Styela clava: one gene and its partner. The protein of the gene in region 2 purifies or fractionates together with the protein of the main gene of each other region. This does not show direct contact. Links are inferred from orthologs where the notes say so. Each region holds a gene or a part of one and is shown on either strand. Other genes may lie near its edges.

Region 1 (10,703 bases), on a different chromosome or scaffold from region 2:
AGGAACAGTTAGTCTGGTTGATTTATCCTGTTGCTTTGATTTATTTAACTCATTTCAAGAAATCGGAAACCCGACAGAAAATTATTTGAAAAATATCATTTGAAAGTACACTCAATGCAGTGGCATATACAATCAATAACAAATTAAACCTTTTTTCGTTCTTCAAATAATTCAGTTTTGAATGGAGTATGAATTCCAACGACAAGAAGCAAACACACTCACGACTAACAAATGGAAATAAATGCTACGAACCTCGTTCCAAGCTCAGCGAGAATAAAAGAAAGGCAATGTTTTGGTTGTCTTCGAAGGCTGTAAAAAGAAGAAAAATAGTAAAAAAATAAGCTCGAAAAATCATGAGAATACTAGAAATAATTCAAACCCGAAAATTTTATTTTTTAGAACTGCAACATTGCTCTTAGGTATACAGCGTATGAAATCGCTAAACACAGACCAACTACACATGGGCTCAAAATTTAGTAGTATGGAACACATTGATGAACAATTGCATTTCATGTGAGCATATGACTAGTTTAACTTACACTGCGCATATTTCTGTGAAGTTAATAAAAGAGGTTTTTCTTGTTCCAACACGAGCACATTGTGGGGGTCTCATTATAAATCTCTTCTTTTCACCGGCGACCATTTCTGGATTTTTTTTTCTCATGATGTCAAATACCCTTGCCAATAACTGAAATGAATAAATTAGACATTTTACACGGGATTTACAGTTAAATGAGCAAACAGATAGCCAAGTGTGCCAACTAAGTACATTTATCCATCAAATATTCATTTTTATTTACAATTCTTCTCCTGATAGAGGGACCAAGTAAGAAGATAACAGTTGACACAAGGGTACTCATATCATATATGAACAAACTTGGCTCAGACAAAAACATCAAATGAAACCACATTTTGTGTACCACGTGTTAATTACATTAACATATTCATAATAATAAAATAACACTTTAGCATATCAATAAAGGTGTTGAAGAAAAATCTGTTATTAACATTACTATAGATATCATGACATTTTAAATAAATTAACTGCCGCCCTCTCATCGTTATTCGGAATAGAAATACGAGTCTGCAGAAGTATTTACTCAAACCCAACTAATTCAGCCAACGATATACATGCAATGACATAACCAGGCCAAAATGAAGATACCAGGTTAGAGTTAGCCCATGATTTTATTCGATTTTTTCTTATTTTAGTTCTATTACGAGTTCGGGGACTGTCTGTGTTAGCCAGTGAATATACCCCCTGTCCATAAGATTCAGTCCCCTTACACATCTTGATGTAAAGTAAGCGAACAAAATTAGTTACATCTATATTGCTATACACACTCCTGGAGCGCCAAAATGGAAATATAGAATGTGTGAATTAACAAACCTCTTCATATGTATAGTCTCTATCTGTTCCTGCCCATGTTGATTCTCCTGGAGTTACATGAATTTCTTCTTGTTCTGAAATAAACAAATGAAACCCATGAAAATGTGTTAAATTATGCATAGAACAAATTTCGACAAAAAATTGACAAAACAAATACCATTTTGTTCCTCAACTTGGTCTGCGAAAGCAACTTCTTTGCCCTTTTTCTTTTTCTTCTTATGAGTTAAATCGAGTTCTTCTTCTTCTCCGTCTTCTTTCTATGGAACAAAACGTATTATCCAATAAGAATTGAGAACAGGAATAATACTTAGAACGGTGGACTATAAAAAGTATTCAGATATAAACTTTGTAGATAACTGATAAAAATGACATTCTATATAAATAACATTAAATTTAACTACCATACTGATGAGATAAAAACAACCAACACATAAAGTAACTCACAATACAATTTCAATAAAGAAAATATTAAAATAATTTACTTTTTCTTGAGCTGTGCCCTCATCCCCAGCATCACCTGCAAAATATGAATAAACAAGATATTTTAGATTTATTTATGCAGAGAGATGATAAAAATATTAAAAAAAACTTTTTCCTATAGGCACCCAAAGTTTTCACCGTAAGTTTCTACAGGTCACATAATGAAATGTATTGTTTTAATTCTGTTGGACCAAAAGTATTACATTGATGCAACATAATTTATTCATTTTTATTTACACCATTTTTATTTCACCTTTTCATCCTCGGAATAAGAGCAAACCACGAAAACAGTTTTATCGTCAATTAAAACACAATTTAAAGCACAAAATTAGTACCACTGCAAAAATTATATCCTACATTTTTAGGTCAAACAAAGCCAACAAAAATATTTTAGGCGAAAGGAATTTGTGCATCACTGTTTACACTATGACAAAAACTTGGTTATCACTTATCGATCTCGATCGGTAAGTATGTTGATAGGTATTTGTCTGTTAGACACTTTCGTATGTTACGCAATATCTCACGAAAGCGAAGTTGAATCTGCTCCAAATTTTGCATGTGCATACATCATATCTAGAAGCCTATTGATTTTGGATGAATTATGTCGTATAATTAGAGTTATTAATTAATTACTGATAGGACACGCAGTGTCTCTATTAAGTCAGAGCAAAGGAATCGAAACCGCAGATCGATAAGTCGGCGGTCTCCGATCGCAATCTAGTTGATCCTTTTACAACTTTGCTTTGCACAAGCTTGTGTTTGGGGCACTGTAACGTCATAGACATAGATAATTATTGGACTAGGCCTTGCAATGCAAAGGGTCGCAAGTAACAGATAAAACTGAATTAAAAAAACTTGTTTCACGGGCAGCACACTATTCAAAATTAGCACTTCTCCACAGGCCGCACTATTTTTGTGGGCCGCAGTTCGCACACCCCTGCACTAAATAACCCCACAATACCTGTTTCGTTTTTATCTTTGTCACCTTCACCATCTTCGTCATCCAGGACAAACTTCTTTTTCTTCTTCTTTTTTTTCAGATTTGTGAGTGATAATTCATCTTCAACTATAAAAAGAACATTTAAAATAATTTCTACCTATATTCCATCTCAAGAATTTTTCCTGCCAAAAAAATTCAAAGAGCAATCATAGTAAAAATGACTCAAAACTTGAGTCAAAAATGGAGCTGGACAGCAATTTTCAAATTTTATCAGATATCACATATTCCCGCCACGCTAATATTCTGTGGCTTATTATCTTATTTTTGAGAAAGTAACTGAGTGAAAATATTAAAAGATTATTTATCTTGTCACCGGATCGTATCATCATGTAATCACACATGGGGAAAATTTGCTAGAAATAGTAATTGTATTAACAAAGGTAGTCTTTTAACAGTTTTTATCATACTCTTAGTGGTAATACCTTCTGGAGCCGGAGTTTCTCCATTTTCTTGTTTTAGTACTTCGGTCGACTCTGTATTACCAATGAGTTCATCTAAATTTGCAGTCTTCTTTTTCTTCTTCTTCTTTGTTAATTCAAGATTCTGTGATTCAATAGTCAAAAAAAAAGTTCGAAGTTACACTCAACTAGTATACAGGGCTTTTTGGTTAGAAGGATGAAATATTACTATTTATCCTTAAAGAGGAAAGTAATCACGGATGTGGTGGCGAGCATATTCCAGTTCCTTATGACTGTATGCTTTGAGTGATGCCCCACACTGCATAGCTGATTAATATGAAATATGGGAAATTTATTTTAAGATCGGTACTCGGTATCCACATACCGTAGGTACAACTGTACAAAGCAAATTTCAGAACACAATGCACAGAATATAGAACATAACTCTGTAACTTCATGTTGCACCTGACAAATCTGAAATGCCAAAACTTACCATATCGTCATTGTCCTCTGCCGCGGCCATTGCTGATTTATTAATCAATTCGTGTATTTATGAAAAAAACTAATATAAATAAGGAACTTGTTAGCTGAACAAAAGAACTGAGAGCATACGGTCCAAACAGCTCCACTGCAATTTCTGCGTTAAAACGTGAGCAAGACCTCGTCAACGAATGACGATTTCGCAATTTTTCATAACAGAACAGATGGTGTTCGGTGTTGCGTGAAGGGTGGATCTCATTAAAATTTCTTAAAATTGCATCATTTTTACATTGAATCAGTCGTACATTCAATTACTTCATGATCAATCAATTTTTGACAAACTTTTTACTTGATATTTGTTGTCGAAATATTGCCAATAATGACATCCATAATACGGTGCTCACTCAGCCGTTAAAAAAGAAATCATTGCATCAGCCATATAGAAAAGGGAACGCAGTTGGCGTAGTGATACCAGAGCCATTATATAACGGCTTTGGTGATAGTGACCACGGCACTTGCCACGCTGCCCTTTGCGATTTTCTCAAAATTATGGTGACTATGGATGTTTCTCCGAGCGTCGATTCCCTTGTTTATTTTGTACCAATGAACAATCAGCAATAAGTCAACAATGGAACTTTGTGCAGTCGCTCGTACACTTTATTTCGGCCTCACTTTCATTATTAAATTTAGAATATTAAATTGTCGACTCGTACATATACATTTTATCTCTATTTTTTATCCATATTTCATCGCCAATGCTTTATCTGACTGATTTTTATATACAGCATGGATCAGGAACCTCGGTGACTGAAACGGCGCGGATTTGACAAGCCAACCTTTCATTCCAGGGGCATAGTAATAGTTTAATTTAAACGTTTTCCATACCATTGTGGGTAGATTACGGGCCTAAAAATTAGCTGTAAATACTTTTAAAAAATATCCTCTATGACTATAAGTCTTTGCTTCAAATAATTGAAATCGTTCAACTCATTAGAAAACTTGCACTTTGTTTCCGGCACTTTGATAATTCAACGACATTCGGGTGTTAAATTAACGCATGGTTCATACTGTCATATCCTAACCATGACGCAAATATTTTTCTCTATATCTGAACTAGTCAAGTGAGACGCGAATCAGTGGTGAATCGGATGCCTCCGTTAAAAACATTTAGTAGTTTCAAATAGAAAAACTATTTATGACTGTCATACTGCAAAACCGTAAACCACATTCAAGTCTTTCGGCGGGACGGCGGAAAACATGCTAAAACCGGGACGTATGGTAAGCCTAGAAATTAGTCCCGAAAAATCTGCGACAGAATAGGCTAAAACTGACGTGTTATGACCTATGGAAATTTATTCGGTCAATCACTTTTACATCGTACATTTTAGTTTACAAATATATCTACTGCTGTACAAAGTTAAATTAACAGTAACTGTCTCATATTCCAATGTCAGAGCAGATTATGGAGGAGGATAATGCGTAATTTAATTGACTCGACATGAAATGAATGCAATAAAATTTCTCTCCCAGTTTTTCGATATCTTTCTGTTATTAGTATAACGAAGTTGTACCCATGTCTGTCAGAAATAATACAAACAAAAAAAGCAAAATTGGCATTTCTGTACTGGTATGTATATATACCCCAGCATCGTCCTAAAAAAAGGTTAATGTAAATGATGAAAACAAAATGTATAAAACTGATCACAGAATCGGGAGAGCAAACAAAACTTAATAGTGAGTGGTACGTGTTCGCTCACACAAAAGTCCAAGAAAAACTGCTTTAAACACTCCAAAAAGAGGAAAAACTTCAGATGTAATAATAATATAGTAAGTTTATTTCGACTCCATAATAAGCATAACAATACATTTGACAGATAAAAACAAATAAATAAAAACTGATTATGAAATCAGGGGAGCAAACGAAACCTTAGATAAGGTTTATAACGTACAAAATATAAGATGGGAGGTTTTGCCAAGAGGAAGTGGTACGTGTTTACTCACCTAAAATGATTAAGTTATTTCACACACGCTGACATGCACACACACTCAACCACTGAGAAGTTATTTTAAGTCAGAATAAAACGCGATAAATTTAGGGTAGACTATAGGGCAGTAAACAAAAAAAATAAAAATAAATACTAGAGAAAGAAAAAAAAAATTATTTGCCACTACATATGGATAATTTTGTAATGGTTGCCATTGCCAAATTGATCGATCTTCTAATCGTTAATTAAAATATAAAAGGAAGATTCTATTGAAAACATATTGCCAAGCTGATTATAGTTGGAGTCAAATGCCAAGTTGCCCAATCAAAGTTACCAGAATTGGGTGCATGAAGAGGTGGGCGAGACCATTTCATTCCCCAAGTTAGAGCCTATTATTGCCAAATTATAGTCCAGATTGTAATAAGTAATTAAAGTTACCGGTAACAGTAAAATTACTATAATTAAGTAAAGTAGGATATGGAAATAAATTGGTTACAAAGGGTGTAAGTGAGGTTTTTCATTTTTGGGTATTGATTTCAGACAAGGATATAGGAATAAGATTGTTATTTCACAGGATATCAGAGTCTTTGTTTGATTTTTTTCTTATGTGTTTTACTTCATTTAATCACTTTGAAGAAACCTGAAAAACAAAAAATAAAACTGCGAGTAGATGTTTCAATGATTTGGTGAAGGGGAACAAGCTGAACTATTTATTACAGGCAAAAAATAAGTGTTTAATTAAATGGGATGTATTGTCATTATATAGCGATGGATAGATGATCTATGATGACATTCTGCCTGGGACAGAGAAAAATTTATCACACCATGCAAAAAACACACAAAATTTTACTATCTATACCTTGGCCAACATGTCAACTCAAACACCAATACCCTGCCTTAACATAAAATGCATGCATACATAAATGATATAAAAACCACATCCAATTAAAATGACCCACCGCAAATTAAAATCTGAAGGGGAGAATCCAACATAGCTCTACTACTCGCCTTGTTGCAATGATTAGTAACCTTGCAGGAACTATATTATACATCTACAACCCTTACACCACCACTCAAACATAAGACCATGCATGTATGATAAGGACATCACAGCTAGAAAAAGGTAAAAACACGAGCGTGAAGTGATAGAATGTGTGCAGTTATTTAAAGATAATATTATCCAGGTATGACAGCTACCTATATATTTAAAAAAAATATACTCATGCATGTCACAATACCATTTTTTGATGCTGGACTAGGTCTGGCCAAGTCATGGCAAGATATAACCATATTATTATAGCTGTTCAACATTTTCATTAAAACAATAATGTGCAAGGGTGGAGTGGAGTGTCCCAAGTTTTTGTCATCGAATACCGCCATTAGTAATTTTAATATTTGCAAACTAAATGAGACTTGACTTGTTTTTGAAAAGATTTTTTGGACTTTAACGTCTTCAAATTTAGGGGAAGAGAATTCCAAAGTTTGGGTCCAGTAAAAGACAAGGAATGCTGACTCACAGATTTACTCATGAAAGGTACGAATAAATCAGAACTACTTCTTCGGTTGGAGGTATTTTTGACAAGTATGTCGTTAAAGCAATTGGGCAGCGCATTATTAAGGAAATTGTAATCTAGGGATAATATTTCAAATTTCATCATATCTTCAACCTTAAATATATTTAGTGATTTGAAGTAAGGGTCTACACTTTCACGTTTTCTTTTACCAAAAACTATTCTTAAAAAATTATTACAAATACTCTGCAGTTTTGAGACAAGTGTTTTATTACCATGAAGCCAGACTGAACAACAATATCGAATATGGCTAAGTAGTAATGATTGAAACATTGCTAGTAGAGCTGATTGATCAACACACTTGGATACTTTGGCAGAAACTGCTAGGTTTCTTTTAGTTTTACGAATAACATGCATTATTTGTGATTTCCATGACAGATTTTCATCAAAGATAACTCCTAGAAATTTTATTTCTTTCCCTCTTTCAATTTCATTGCCATTGAGCAGTAGTTTTTTTGAACAACTCACACTTTTATGCTTGCTTGGATGGAATAATACAAATTTAGTTTTGTTAGCATTAAGAGATAATTTATTAACTAACATCCAGCTATGAATGTCGGTTAGTTCTTGGTTTGCAACTGTGAATAGATCTTCAAGGTTTTTCCCATGAAGAATCAAATCAGTGTCATCAGCAAACATGATCGACTCAGAGGATTTCAGACACCTGGACATGTCATTAATGTAAGCTAGAAAAAATAATGGGCCAAGTAAAGATCCTTGTGGAACTCCGTGCTTCATGACACAAATATTTGTAGACAATGAGTTGTCATATTGCACAATTTGCTTCCTGTCTTGAAGGTCCTGATCCAATTGAATGGGACGCCTCTAATTCCATAGTGATAGAGCTTAGTTTTGAAGATTTTAATGAATAATCCACTAGATAGTGAGTGGTTGAGTATATATGCCTTGATATCAATGATATCTTCTGGAACATATTACTGCAATATTTTGAATGGAGTACAATCGATTCCAAAACTTGAGTTGGACTTTGGCAGTTCGCATAATTATGATGCAGTTGGCTATTGATTGCAATGATGTAGTTGACCTCAATAACATAGATGGGAATACCTGCTTTCCAAGATATGAGAGGTGTTTTTTTGTCATAGCTAGCTGGTTGAGCCATATTGTCAAGCAATCTTTGTGTCACTTGGGTAAAGTACTAAATTTATTTGCAATTTGTGTACTACCGCAGTCGAGTTCAACAGATGGACAGAAATTGCTTTTATTTTCACCAATTAGTTCATTAATTGTTTTTCACACTGCCTCGATTTGATTTCTTTTTTGGAGTAGTCGAGCTTGAAGATTCCTGCATTCATTATATATTGTGATTTGTGTCATCTATCTTTTTATTATTAATTAGTTTCTTATACAGTTTTTGTTGATTTTGCGTAGCTCAGTATCGTACCAAGGTTTGGATATTTGGTTTGTCTGTTTTGCTGTGTAGAAACAAATCAAAACATTATATTATTTATGGTGCGACAAAACTAAACAAACAACAAAATAAACCAGACTAAAATATGACATGAGGCATAGCCTACTGCTGATTTTAACAGTGGTGTCATTGGCTAAGTCACAAGTTTGACAGAAAGTGAGTGGGAATCCTGGGAAACCAACAAAGAGGGCCACTTTCGTGTTTCACAATAGCAGTGAAAGAGATATAAAAGTAGCTGTTTCCTAATGGCGTTGTGGCAAACAAAGTGCGAACACTCAAAAAAATGATTTGTTAGCCTGAAAAATTTCTTTATTGAAGATTAGGTAGCAGATTGGCAAACAGTAATCACAAAACCTGGACCAGTCGAAAATTACAATGCGTCAATTTTCGCATGCACCCCTGACTGACGATTCAAACGATCTGGGACTAGTGACGCATGATCTAGCTCACGCATAAATCAAGTTCTACCGGTCAAGTATATCACCCCTGAAGCCAACAAGTCTATATACACTTGACATGTTATTTTTTAAGTATAATATTCTTCTAACCAGCATTACCAACTACTTTAAAAGTTATGTAGCTCGCCAATCTCATGAATTGAATATATATACAGAGAAGAATATTGCCACCATACCTTTATTGAACAATGGAATAAAGAAACATGATAATAACGTTTTGGTTTCCACATGATATTATTTTTCACAATACAGACAGAATATTATTATGATGAATTGTAGTTAACTATAGTCTAAATATATATATTTTCCCATGCACTTTTCTTTTGATTTGTAATGTTTTGAATGTTTCCTCGAGCAACGGCTTCCTTGTTTAGTTCTTCTGCAATAATGACAAATTAGCACATCGACGGTGTGGTGAAAATGGAAGTTTGTGAAGCAATCCAGACATTTTTCCCAGCATATTTGTAAGCCGTTTTTATGACTATTACGGGTGTTTGACAGTTTTTAGGTATTTTGGGGGAATTTAGGATCGACCAAAATAATTCGAGGGATAAGTATTTTTCCGACGAAGTTTAGTCTAGTTCATTCGATCAAAAATTAGTCCTGAAAAGGCTGCGAAAGAACGATTAAATTAGGTATCAGAACTGAATAACACGTAGTTAAATGCTATTGAGTGAGGATTTTGGTTATGAATAAATACATAACACAGTTTGTAATCGGTAGCTCACAAAAACACTTTGGGGAAAGATATTAACCAGAATTTTTTTTTTAAACAACAAATAAAATGGGTAGCTTAGTGCTAAATTTGTCTTGTGTGATAACTGCATTAGCTCGAAATTACCAAAATTTCGCAACATTTTGGCACTTCAGAATCAATAATCATCATTAAATCACACATCAAACTAAATATCAGCATTAAAATTTGTTTATCAGTGTCAGTCCTCGTTTTATATATGTAAAAAAATAAAGTAACCATTCGGTCATCTAATATTTAAATACGATGGAACGCTTCTTGTTACTTTCAAAAGATAATATCGTCACGCTAATAACCGAATTGCGTAAGTCATTTTTGGCGATTTTGAGTTTTTTATAAAATAGGTATTTATGTAATGCTGCGCACCTGTCTGTTACCTCAGATTTTATTTTAAGAGTTCTGAAACCCATAAAAATGGAGATTTAGTATGACATGCACATTTGTGCAATTGTTTCGTCATAATGATTTATCATTGTTACCGCAGTACTATTGTGACGTCACAAAGGCAAAATAACCTCGGCTATGTATTTTTGAGTTTTTGCATCTCGGATTCTAGCTAAGTGCGTATTAATTTGAATTTATACTACAGTATAGGAAGACGTGCACTTGTGATATTTACTGTCCGAGTCCAATTCACCTTGGTTGGCTTTTATATTGGGTGCATTGCTGTTCTTAGTCTTATTTCGGTGGGTGTGCAGAACGTGTTATATTGATGAAATATATATTTTTAAACATAAAAAATAATGTAATTGAAA
Region 2 (10,996 bases):
CTCTTAGCAAATCTGAACATTCCAATGGGTTCACCATCTAAAAATAAAACAATGTTTTTTCTGACTAAACTGTTCGATTTTATTTATGTGCACATGACCTTGTATCCAGCAAATTCTTATGAAAAATACAATAATATACCTGGTGTAATAATGGGACAATCTTCTTCAGTTAATTGTGATTGCACAAAAGAGTTCAATTCTTCCCATGTAAACAGTAATGAATCTGTCATTGAACCCCAAGGATTAAAATCAATTATCCAGAATTTTCCCTGAAACAAGAAAAATGTTGTTTGTAGGTCATTAAGTGAGCACATTCGACAGTTTACTATGAAACAATAAAATGGGTCTGGTTCATTACTGAGAAAATAACAGCAAAACATAGAAAGCAATTGCAAACACAACTAGAGTTAGTAAATGAATGAATTTAACCTAAATTCTTAATCAACCTAAGTCTAGTCATCAAGGTAAAAAGCATAAGCTATATGTCCGCCATCTTGGTTCACATACTTCGGGAATACCATATTTCCTATATTACATCATGATCATCTAATTTACCAATTCAGAAATCCGAAACTGAAAAATATATTTTCTAAGAACAATGATCTAGTTAAATCTATTAATACTCACATCTCTCTTCTTGTAGATGTCAACAACATCTAAAAAAAATTGGGTTATTCAGTACTTTTGAATCATTAAAATAACACAGGTACTAGAGAGAATAGTAATGTAAAATTTTGCCAATGGTTATGGCATATTGGCATTCTCTAATCCTTCATGAGATTCAGATTTGTAGCACTCACACAAAGTGATCATTGGTTTAATAATGATTGTCAAGTCTGTAACATAATAAATCATTTTTAGACACTTTATATTTCATTCAATCATTTTCTTTTACAAGATACTCACAATTAGAATTATTAAATTTATGTTGAATTTTTTCTTGAAAAAATCTGCAAATTTCTACAGGTAAAGACTGTTGTTGGCTTTCAACATATTCATAATATTGTTGATGATGTCTCTGACACGCAGCAATGAGTTTGTGGTTTCGTACAAAACATCTGAATTCCATTCCAGGTACTAAGTTTGCCCATTTCCTCAAAACCAACTGAAAATATTTAATAAATCTGATAAGAAAAAAGATACGGTTTTATTTTGGATCACATTTTCATAAATTTTATTTTGTATTGTTCCATCTGACCAAAGGCAGACTTCCTCAGACAAACAGTTTACAATAATGATAAAAAAAAAAGAACAATTATAGGATGCATTATACATGCATGATATTTATGACAATATTTGCTGATATCAATATTCCGATGCTTGGAAATTGCTGATTTGATGCTGATGCTGAAATTGTTAATCTAATTTAATAATCAGATTATTAAAATTTGACATCCTTGCAGTGGGAACATGATTTATGTCAATATCATGTAATATAAATCTCAATAAAATATTCTAATTTAAATTGAATAAAATTCCAGAAAACATACAATTCGGGTGTGAACATCCCTTCTGGCGGAAAGAACGACATATATATAATTTTGAACAAATTATAAAAGATTAAAATCTTACTTCTTTCTGGAATTGTGGATCTGGTATTGAATCATCAGTACATAGTTTAAATGGAGATGTCAAATCGTAAGTGATGAAGTCGGAACTTTTCATAAGTAAAATGATGTCACCTGATAAAACAATAAATATAGAAAAGAATTCAATTTCACGAAGCAGTATTTTGAACTCTAATTTCTGATATTTGGACACACTTTAAAAAATATATTGCTGTACGAAGATTGTTTATAATTATTAAACAAATGAGCAAGGTGATTCGAGTGCATCATAGGAATAAATCGAACAGATTCTAATTGATAGTTCCTCTTTGATGTAATAATATTTGTGTCGGCATGATACGCAATCAGTGAAAAGTTTGAAAATATTTTCAACAACAATTAACATTAACTGCCCAAGTTTTGGCATCAGGCATTCTGTAACAAGCAGAAGCAAAAATGCTAGTAGTAAGCCTCATCTATGTTGGCAATAATGGCTAAGGGTCAATCAGGACCATTGTCCTCAGACAGAATGTAACAAGGAAGTAGCCAAACCTAGTTTCAAGTTTTTCCAGACATAGTGGTGTATTCAATAACAACCCTATTTCATGAAAAGGGTATAAAAACATAAAGTCACCTGGAGTGTTACACTTCAAACTATTATTCGATGTTATCCAAATAGCATCTTTGGGTGAACTCCAATTCAATTTTGGAAATGATTTCCAATTTAATTTCTCTAAAACTTCTTTGATTTGTTCCAGAAGAGCAGTGAATTGAGGTGCCTGTAAACAACAATTGTCTTCTTCAATTGCTTCTCCATAAGTATATAAACCACAATCCAATATTTCCAAGCAAAAATATTGCAATCCCAGTACTGGTATATTTTGAAATAGGTATATAATATATACATATACCAGAATTTTTTTGTAATAAATCTTCTGAATTAGTAAGTTAGGATAATTATGAATCCATTTTTTCAAATTATGACTGAATTTGGCGTCCCTACAAAGGCAAGAATATCACAGATTCGAAATCTTAGAAAATCTTCAAACCTCATTTTCATTTTGTGTTTCGTCTTCATCTGACCAATTTTCATTATCATCGAAATTACTTTGTATACTTAAATCAGCACCTTTTGGTAATATCAATGGACCATCTTTTTGCAAATATTCAACAAAATCATCCGGCAATGGTATAATAAAGCTAAAAAACAAAAATCCACAAATGACAGCCATCGATTATTAAACACATTTGAAGTGAACAATTACAGTTCTTCAACATATTCAGTATTAAGAGTTCAATAGCCTGAAAATTATGAATTTCAATCTAATAGTTAAATTATATTAGGAAATTTAGTGTTATTTACTGATATATGTCAAAAACTAATTTACATTGCATCTAGTATAAATCAAATTCACTATATAATTTAAAAGAATCCTCGAAAAATAAATCAAAGAACTGTTGAATTCAAATTAATACGAGAGATTAAAAAGCGATAAATGTAAGCAAAAAATAGATGAATATTTGTTAAATCGAAATAAAAAGATCATATGTTTTCCTCTGTTGCTGGGCCACAAACTCCGTCAGAAAATTCAGTGCCATCTTCAGATGGCCACCACATTGGAATATGACATCGAAATTTTAGCTGACCATCTTTTGAAGAAAGTGTCTCTCCTGAGTAGTTCAGTCTCACTAATGCAAGACCTACTTTACCATCAGAATGCATTGATCGAAACTTTCCTGCACTTTTTCTCTTCTCTGTGTATATTGAAGACCCAGATTCAATAGATCCTTCTCCTTCTATGCTCACAGGAACAAGTCGTTTTCTAATGACACCGGTGAATTTGGTACGAGCTGTGAGCTCTTGACCAATATAACATCCTTTATGAAAGCTGACACCATTCATAAAATCAAGATTGCATTCCAAGGGCAGACAAGTTCCAGGTGGCAAATCTAACGGACCCTCTGGAACACCAATGTAATGTCTTTTATGATGATATGCATTAATATCCATGTTAATTAATGCAGAGTCACTTTCTGACATATTTTCAACCACCAGTCTATGCCCGAGCATTGGGACCCTCGGGTCAATGGCAGAAGTGACTACATTGCTGAACTGTGGAGAAATATGAAAAGAATTTCCAGACATTGCCTGCACCACCGATAGATTATCTCTGGGTGTAATACTCAGTTTTTTTCTCAGTTTATATAATTTTAAAATTTTAATGATACTTTCGGAATTTGACGACTCACATTCAAGAAGGACTTTGTTTTCTGTGTCGTGTTGTTGATGATATAACATAATATCATGCATAATGCGTCCATGTTGGTTTAAAATCATTGCATACATGCATTTCATTTCAGGGAGAAGTTCAACGTCATTGGTTATAATCCCTTGTAAAAAATTGGTAACATCCCGTCCTTCGAGTTCAAGTAAACTCCGATGTTTCAAATGAGCATATCTGACATTATCCTGATCCTTGTCAACAATATGCATATGCCTTGCACTAGACAGCATTTTTGATTTCGAACAGAACCGCGGAAAGATACGTCGTAATAGTGTAACTCTTGACATAGCCAAAGACATTTTAAATAAAATAAGATTTCATCAACTCCTACCTTTTTATTGTGATGTCTGAAAATTGTGAATACCATTTTGAGAACATGCAATTCATCACATGTTCTTTTGTTAATGTTGTCATATTGTAGTATTGTTGAGTTTCAAATTTTGAGGAAGTTTAAGTATACCTTAATACCAGTCAATCAATAATTTTTCTAAAAAAAGTTTTGTAATCTCATGTTTATATTGACTTCAACAATCCATATTTAAAAAAAAAGATATGACTTTATTGGCAAAACTAATATATAATAAAATACAGAATATGAAAGTTCTTCATGACCACTAACAGACTACTAGAATTGCATGAACAAGAGGACAAGAGTAAAACTGTAAAATGAGACAGGCATGGTGAAAATAGATACCTGGATCTAAAGAAGCGAGTGCCTTGACGATTACGCCCCTATCCAGTTATCTGTAAATATAGTAAAGATAGTTGGGCACAATATGTCTATCTCTCAGTCCTCCATGCAGACGCAGTGATGTAAGAAAGCAATCTGGTATTTTTGTATTTCATTATTTGTCAAACAAGTATTACTGTATTAACATTCTTGAATATCTGTCTGAGCGAAACAAGTGTCTGAGTGGCCTCACTAACTTTACAGCTTTAATTGTTACGTCAATCTGTCAATATTAACTCATTGCCGATAGGCCATTAGGTATTACTGCATTACGGAAAGAAACATGGAAATTGATGCTCGTGGAAACATCCATAGCTTCCTTCACCATCAGATCCTAATTCAGTACGGTACCGGTAGGCTACCGTATTTTCACGCTCCTGGCAATGCAAACAAAAACTCAGTCAAAAGGAAAAATTTGTCTCAATTATTGAGTTTATATCTGAGTTATGCAAGTAAAATAAAAAATTAACATAAGCTGCGGCAGACGGGTCCAAGGACACTTGCAACAACATCGTGATCTTTAAATTTTGTGTCTTACCCGACATCTCTTTCAATTCCAAATATAGGCCATCCATACAAAGGTACATATGGTCTTTGGTGCGCACGATGCTAAGCGTTACGGTATCATAGCGCCTGTGATAATCATACACGGCTCGCAGCTGGACTCTTCGCAGTCTGTAGTGGTGGTAGCAAAATAGTCAAATTAGGGATGGCCGAATACGGTCACTGGGCGTCAAATTGGAGATGGAAACTGCTCGGTAACACCTACATGAAGTCTATACACCTGAAACAAATACATGACCAACTTGAGCCACCGTGTGAGAACTGAGAAGATGGTGGTTCTACTCTACACCAAATGCTTATTGTCTGCTACACGGAGATAAATATGGGAACCTATCCATTTAGTTATGGATCGAATCTTATATTCTTAATCGGAAAAAAACACGTCTGCTTCAGTGAGTCATTATTACATAGTGTTGAGCATTGCGAATGCAGAATATATCAGGACTGATGCGATTACTGGTACTTGATTTTATGGAAATCATGTGCGAAAACACGGATTCGTTTTTTCCGAAAGCAATGTATGCGAGAAAAGAACTTCAAAGTAGCGTTTAGTTCTCGTATACCCCCAAAACATTCCGGGACTCTCGTTGGTTCATATTCCACCGAAAAAGAACATCTGTAATAAGACTAATTATGAGAAATGAAAGATCAATTTCATTGTTATGTCATAAACGTTTTAATGGCATTGCTGCTAACTACATACAGGTATATTACAGTAGTTGACTTGTCGGCCGGTTATTATCAGTTTTCATTATGGAAATGTTGGTAAGTTTTGTTTTCATTAATTCGTGATTTGGTGACTCACCGAAAAAGCATGCTTCAATTGCAGTGAGCGTAAGTGGATGTAAATTCGTATTTCTTACTTATGACTAACTGCTTGCATCATTTTGTCATTTCCACCCCTTCTCAAAATGCCCGTTGGACCTTTTTATTCGGGAAGCACCTCGGCGAGAAAATTATTACGCAACAAACCCTTTGAGAAACCAAGCACCGCCCTGGCAAGTTTGCTCATCGTCAAACATTTATCACGTGCCCACGCTCATCCACGTTTGTCTGGTAATTTATTCTCTCCTACAAACGAGAGAAGAGAAAAAATGAAAGATAATGGGACTACTGGAGCATGACAGGTGACGTCACCATACAGAGTTATTTTTGCTGGAGATGGTTGGGCGAAGGAAGTCGTTGCCCGCGTTCAATGCTTTGTTCATTGCAGTTAGAGCGGAATTTCGGTCATTTGCGTAATGTTGTTAATGAATCTATATGTTAGATGTGAATGCCATGAATTTTGACAGATCGACTTGGTATACCTTACCCTGCAAGCCAGTTACTACTCCAGTACTCAGCTCAAAAATAGGCAAATCCAGCTGCAGAAGCGTGGTGACGTTGCTGTGATATCCTAGTATCCTGGTATTTAGATGTCATAAGTTGATACCCATGGTTCGTTTCGTGCTTGTAAAAATGCTGTAATCTTTATTGTTAAGTATAGTTTTTTTCAAATTAATATGGGTAGCCTATGTACCTGATTTAAAACTTACAAGTGCAATTAATTTCAGCAATACCCAAATCTGTAAATGCAGCCAGGTGTCAAAACATGCCATTTTTGAAGGTTCTATGGTACTAACCTAGTAATGAAATAGCCTAGCCTACTAACTGCTTAAAAATAAACAGAAGAACATTATTCTAAAACAGATAGCATCTTGTAGTTCAGTAGTTTGTTAGTCTTGTGTTATTGTATTGATAAGTTCTTCTTTGACCGCTTGAGGAATCAGATGTTGTTGGTTCTGTGGTTTGGGAAGTGGACAGCAGGATTTCCGTATTTGCCAAACATATTGTTCACATACGGCCATTTATATAAAATTGATGTTCTACATAAATTATAGAGTAATTTACATTACACAATCAGCACGGCTGTTGAAAAACTAAACTAAGATTTTCACATTGTTACGATAGATGTAAAACGAATTAGTTATAGAGGCATTTACTACTAAAATACGGCACACTAAACAGATCGAGAGACATTGTCTCGTTCCAAAGAATCCCATTTTGCGGATGAACAAACACTTCTCCTTTCGAGGACGTCTGGACATTGTTGTCCCTCAATATACGTTAAAATGAAATTGGGCAAAAAACTACAGAGAAGCGCAATCTAAAAACGTCATTGTTGAATTCCTCTGGAAAAAATAATAAGGAATCAGAAGGAAAAACTTTCTACCGTGGCATTCGAGAGTTTTTAGCAAAAACAGCAATTTTGATCATGCGACGGCCACGATTAATTTACATTATTATCGGGGCACACATGACGCCATATGGCACCTCTATCATTGTGTTAGACGGCCCTCGTTTGTGAGACAGATGGAGTGTTTGTTTTATTGAACCAAATGACGGGACATTCTTGGAATTCGGAAAGTGTGCTGTACTGTATTATTTTTATACTATGTTGAATGTTTTACTTCATTTTTTATATTGTGCAGCTGTTGAAACTTCTGACTAACTTAGTTGACGTCAAAACACAGATCTGTAATGAAAAACAACGCTAGCAGTGTTCGTATGCCATCACCACGTCAAAATGCCGATAAATCTTCCCCAAAACGAGGATCTAAATCTGATAATCAGAATTTGAAGTTGCAAGGTGGTTGCAAAGGTGCCAAGCCGTGCACAAAGGTACCTATAATTCCATGTATATTAATTCTATAATAATAACACGAACATATCTATAATTATTGAAATTTATTTAGGGTGGAGATACAATTGTTAAACAAGAAGAAAATTATCTGGCGAGATGTACAAATTTTCGGTTGACAACTGGTTATGAATTGAGCATTTGTAATTGTAAGCATATTCGAAAGATTCGAATTGGAGAACGACATTCGATTGTGAATCCTCAGCGATGGTTATGTGAAACATGCTTCACAACAGAATCTGTATGGGCGTGTCTAAGTTGCCCGAATGTAGCATGCGGCAGGTACGTATCTGAAGCCTACACTCTGTATGTTTTACTGTGATATGTTGTTATTTTTCGATATCCCTGTTGCGTCAATTAGTTTCAATAACACAAATTTTACTTCTGCAAATTCACAAGCTCACTCGCACATGATAGAAACTCACTCAAGAGTAGAGAGATATATTTCCTGTTTTGTGTCTTTGTACTCAGCACATTAATAAGGTCTTGTATCATCAATGTTTTTAGTCAATCCTATATACTTTTGAATAAATTATTAACTTATTGCTTTCGGACATAGATGGACCAGATATTAGCATTCCTAAATGATCAATCAACTGCATGAAAGCTCTAATTTTTTTTGCCATTTGAATTTATATACATTCATCATTTGTATATATTTATTTCATTAATTTGGTAAGTGAGATAAAATTTCTATTTGATAAAGGAATGTATTTCAAAATGATTGTATGTGAATGTGTTCATACAACTGGGTTCGAAATCAACAAATTTACAAATGTCAGACAATTGTATTTGTTCGATAATTCATCTGCTCGCGTCAGGAAATTATATCTGTCTTTGGAGCCCTCTTTTTCACTCATAATATGACATCAGAATTTTCCGTTAGTTTTGGCCAGTTGTGACTAAGCTTTAAGAAAGTTCTCCAATACTGTAATTGCTAAGCTGGCTATTACCAAATATTAGTTTGTTATACTAAATCAAGTTTGGGCCAGACATAAGATATCAAATCATGAAAATATAAGGATGAACTTTCACCTGGTATTAAATTGGTTATAAAACAAAAGGTCAATTTGTCCTATATTAAACGAGTGGTTATGCTCTAAAACAGTGGTTCTCAAGATTTTTGAGCCGAGCCCCCTTTTTAGAAAATCCCAAGTCTCATGCCCCACCTCAAAAATAACTAGCTAACAATAAGCTACGAATAACAGATAGTAAGGCGAAAGTATGTTTTATTTATAAAGCATGTTGGAAATACGTGTATACGTGTACGTGTATACATAATAAAGAAATGTTTGAGCACTACTGTCTAAAAAAAGGCTTTCTCAAACTTATTTAGTTCCATATAATATTAAATAGGCATATTGTTTTTTTATTCGACCTATTTATACACCTCTCTGGGCAAGGCTCTGTATAAGCATCCGATAGGTAAGAACCTATGATATTTTGGAAGGACCAGATTCCTTGCAATTCGTCATTGCCTATCCAATTTATTACAGTCTGAGTAAGGTGTCATACATAGGATTTGAACCCAAGATTTTTAATCAGTAATATTACTTCAGCATCTTTACCACTTGGCCATTGCGCCTATTGTATTTGTAACAAATAAACAAGAATACGTGGTACTGAATATATGTAATGTAAAAAATTTTGTTTTGCAGGTTTATAAAAGAACACGCCCTAACACATTTTCAAGAATCTGGTCATCCACTGGTTATCGATGTCAATGAACTGTATGTTTTCTGTTATAAATGTGATGATTATGTGCTTAATGATAATAATTCCAGTGACATCAAAGTCCTCAGAGAAACTCTTTTGGTAAGAAATTGGAAGGAGTAATGTCGTTAAGATAAATTTTAATTTAATGCTCTACCGGAAGATATTATATGAATTAATAAAATCAGAACGCAATTTCATATATGTACTATAGATAGAACGGATTCGTGATTGAATCTTTGTTGGAAATTTGTTTTAGTAAAATCTGCTAAACAAATTTTGTGATTTTGCCAGAGAAGAAGTAGAAAATTTTTTTATAGTATTGCAATTTGCAGACATGTTAAGTTTTTTTCCTTACGTTTCCAGATGTCAAACTAATTTTAATTTCACCTCATTTATTATTTTTGATTTGATGTGTTATGTAGTAAAATCATGAGACATGTCAGAATGTATTATATAAAATAATCTGAACAAGGCTTTCTATAAGCAACTCTGAAATGAAGGATAACTACTATGTTTCTGGTTTGGCATTACCTTACCAACTTATTACACCTTGGGGGAGGTGATTGCCATGGAATCTAAACTCAAGATTTGGGGCTCCCGAAGTATGCGAACCAAGATGGCGGACATCGGAATGTAATATGTGTACTAGGTTAGGGTTAGGCCATAATTTTATGTATAAATACTACGGGAGGCTCTTGACTAGTCTTCGAACTGATAATAGGACTAAAATAAGGAAAATTGGAAAAAATTATCGCCTAACCCTAACCTGTTGCCCATGTTACGTTCCGATGTCCGCCATCTTGGTTCGCATACTTCGGGAGCACCCAAGATTTTTATCTGCAATGCCAACATATTTCAGTCCAACCATCGCTTTGATACATAGACTTTTGAACCCACAAAACCCACCCGACCTGATTATATAATTTTATATGACAATGGCAAGTATTTGGCAGCAACTTTTCAGATAACTCTCTATAAAACGACATATAAACTTCACGATTATCAATATAATAAATTCAATTTAGATCGTGATTAGTAAATGAACTACCAAGTAATTTCGACCCACCCATATAAATTATTTAAATTCACGATCACCAACATTCATATATTCTCATCCAGGCCATTCGATACCAAAACTTCACTGGAACAACTCGCAGTGGTCATACTTTAAGGTCAGCAATGATCACTGAACAAGTTGATGTTGAAATGAGAAGACAAATGCAACAAGAACAATTAGACAGAGATGACAGACTTTTCACTGCTATTTGGCATTCTAGGTTGGTTGTTACTCTTTCGCCTTACCTCTGTTATCAAAAAGTCAATAATCAATGAAGTTAAGATATCCATCGTGTTCATTAGTAATACCAAATGAGTTAATAGTCAAGGAAGAAGTCTAGTTACCTTGGCACCAACACAGCCTATTTTAAGTTATTTGTGCAACAAGCTAGTAAATTTTCGGTTTTAGAACAGCAAC

Evidence for each region. The genes of interacting proteins can lie anywhere in the genome.
Region 1: the proteins of translation initiation factor eIF2 assembly protein-like (region 2) and eukaryotic translation initiation factor 2 subunit 2-like purify together in Homo sapiens (affinity purification with mass spectrometry; 4 studies listed by BioGRID and IntAct, counting the BioPlex papers as one, with this or other methods). This does not show direct contact. The link is inferred for Styela clava from reciprocal best matches to the Homo sapiens genes CDC123 and EIF2S2.

The regions. Positions count from the first base shown.
Region 1 is NC_135262.1:17,201,346-17,212,048, forward strand, and holds the start of eukaryotic translation initiation factor 2 subunit 2-like, read right to left. Parts: upstream 3,944-10,703; 5' UTR 3,792-3,943; coding exon 3,762-3,791; intron 3,414-3,761; coding exon 3,293-3,413; intron 2,937-3,292; coding exon 2,832-2,936; intron 1,908-2,831; coding exon 1,873-1,907; intron 1,648-1,872; coding exon 1,548-1,647; intron 1,465-1,547; coding exon 1,391-1,464; intron 689-1,390; coding exon 540-688; intron 310-539; coding exon 253-309; intron 1-252.
Region 2 is NC_135258.1:10,862,450-10,873,445, forward strand, and holds the start of translation initiation factor eIF2 assembly protein-like, read right to left. Parts: upstream 4,323-10,996; 5' UTR 4,247-4,322; coding exon 4,164-4,246; exon of another isoform or gene 4,132-4,163; coding exon of another isoform or gene 3,091-4,131; exon of another isoform or gene 2,748-3,090; coding exon 2,597-2,747; intron 2,327-2,596; coding exon 2,182-2,326; intron 1,683-2,181; coding exon 1,573-1,682; intron 1,106-1,572; coding exon 907-1,105; intron 657-906; coding exon 628-656; intron 270-627; coding exon 140-269; intron 38-139; coding exon 1-37. Other genes in the region: iron-sulfur cluster assembly factor IBA57, mitochondrial-like, read right to left, coding at 3,091-4,131; ubiquitin carboxyl-terminal hydrolase 44-like, read left to right, coding at 7,647-7,787, 7,862-8,088, 9,465-9,621, 10,642-10,799. UniProt on the Homo sapiens protein: ATP-dependent protein-folding chaperone for the eIF2 complex. Binds to the gamma subunit of the eIF2 complex which allows the subunit to assemble with the alpha and beta subunits.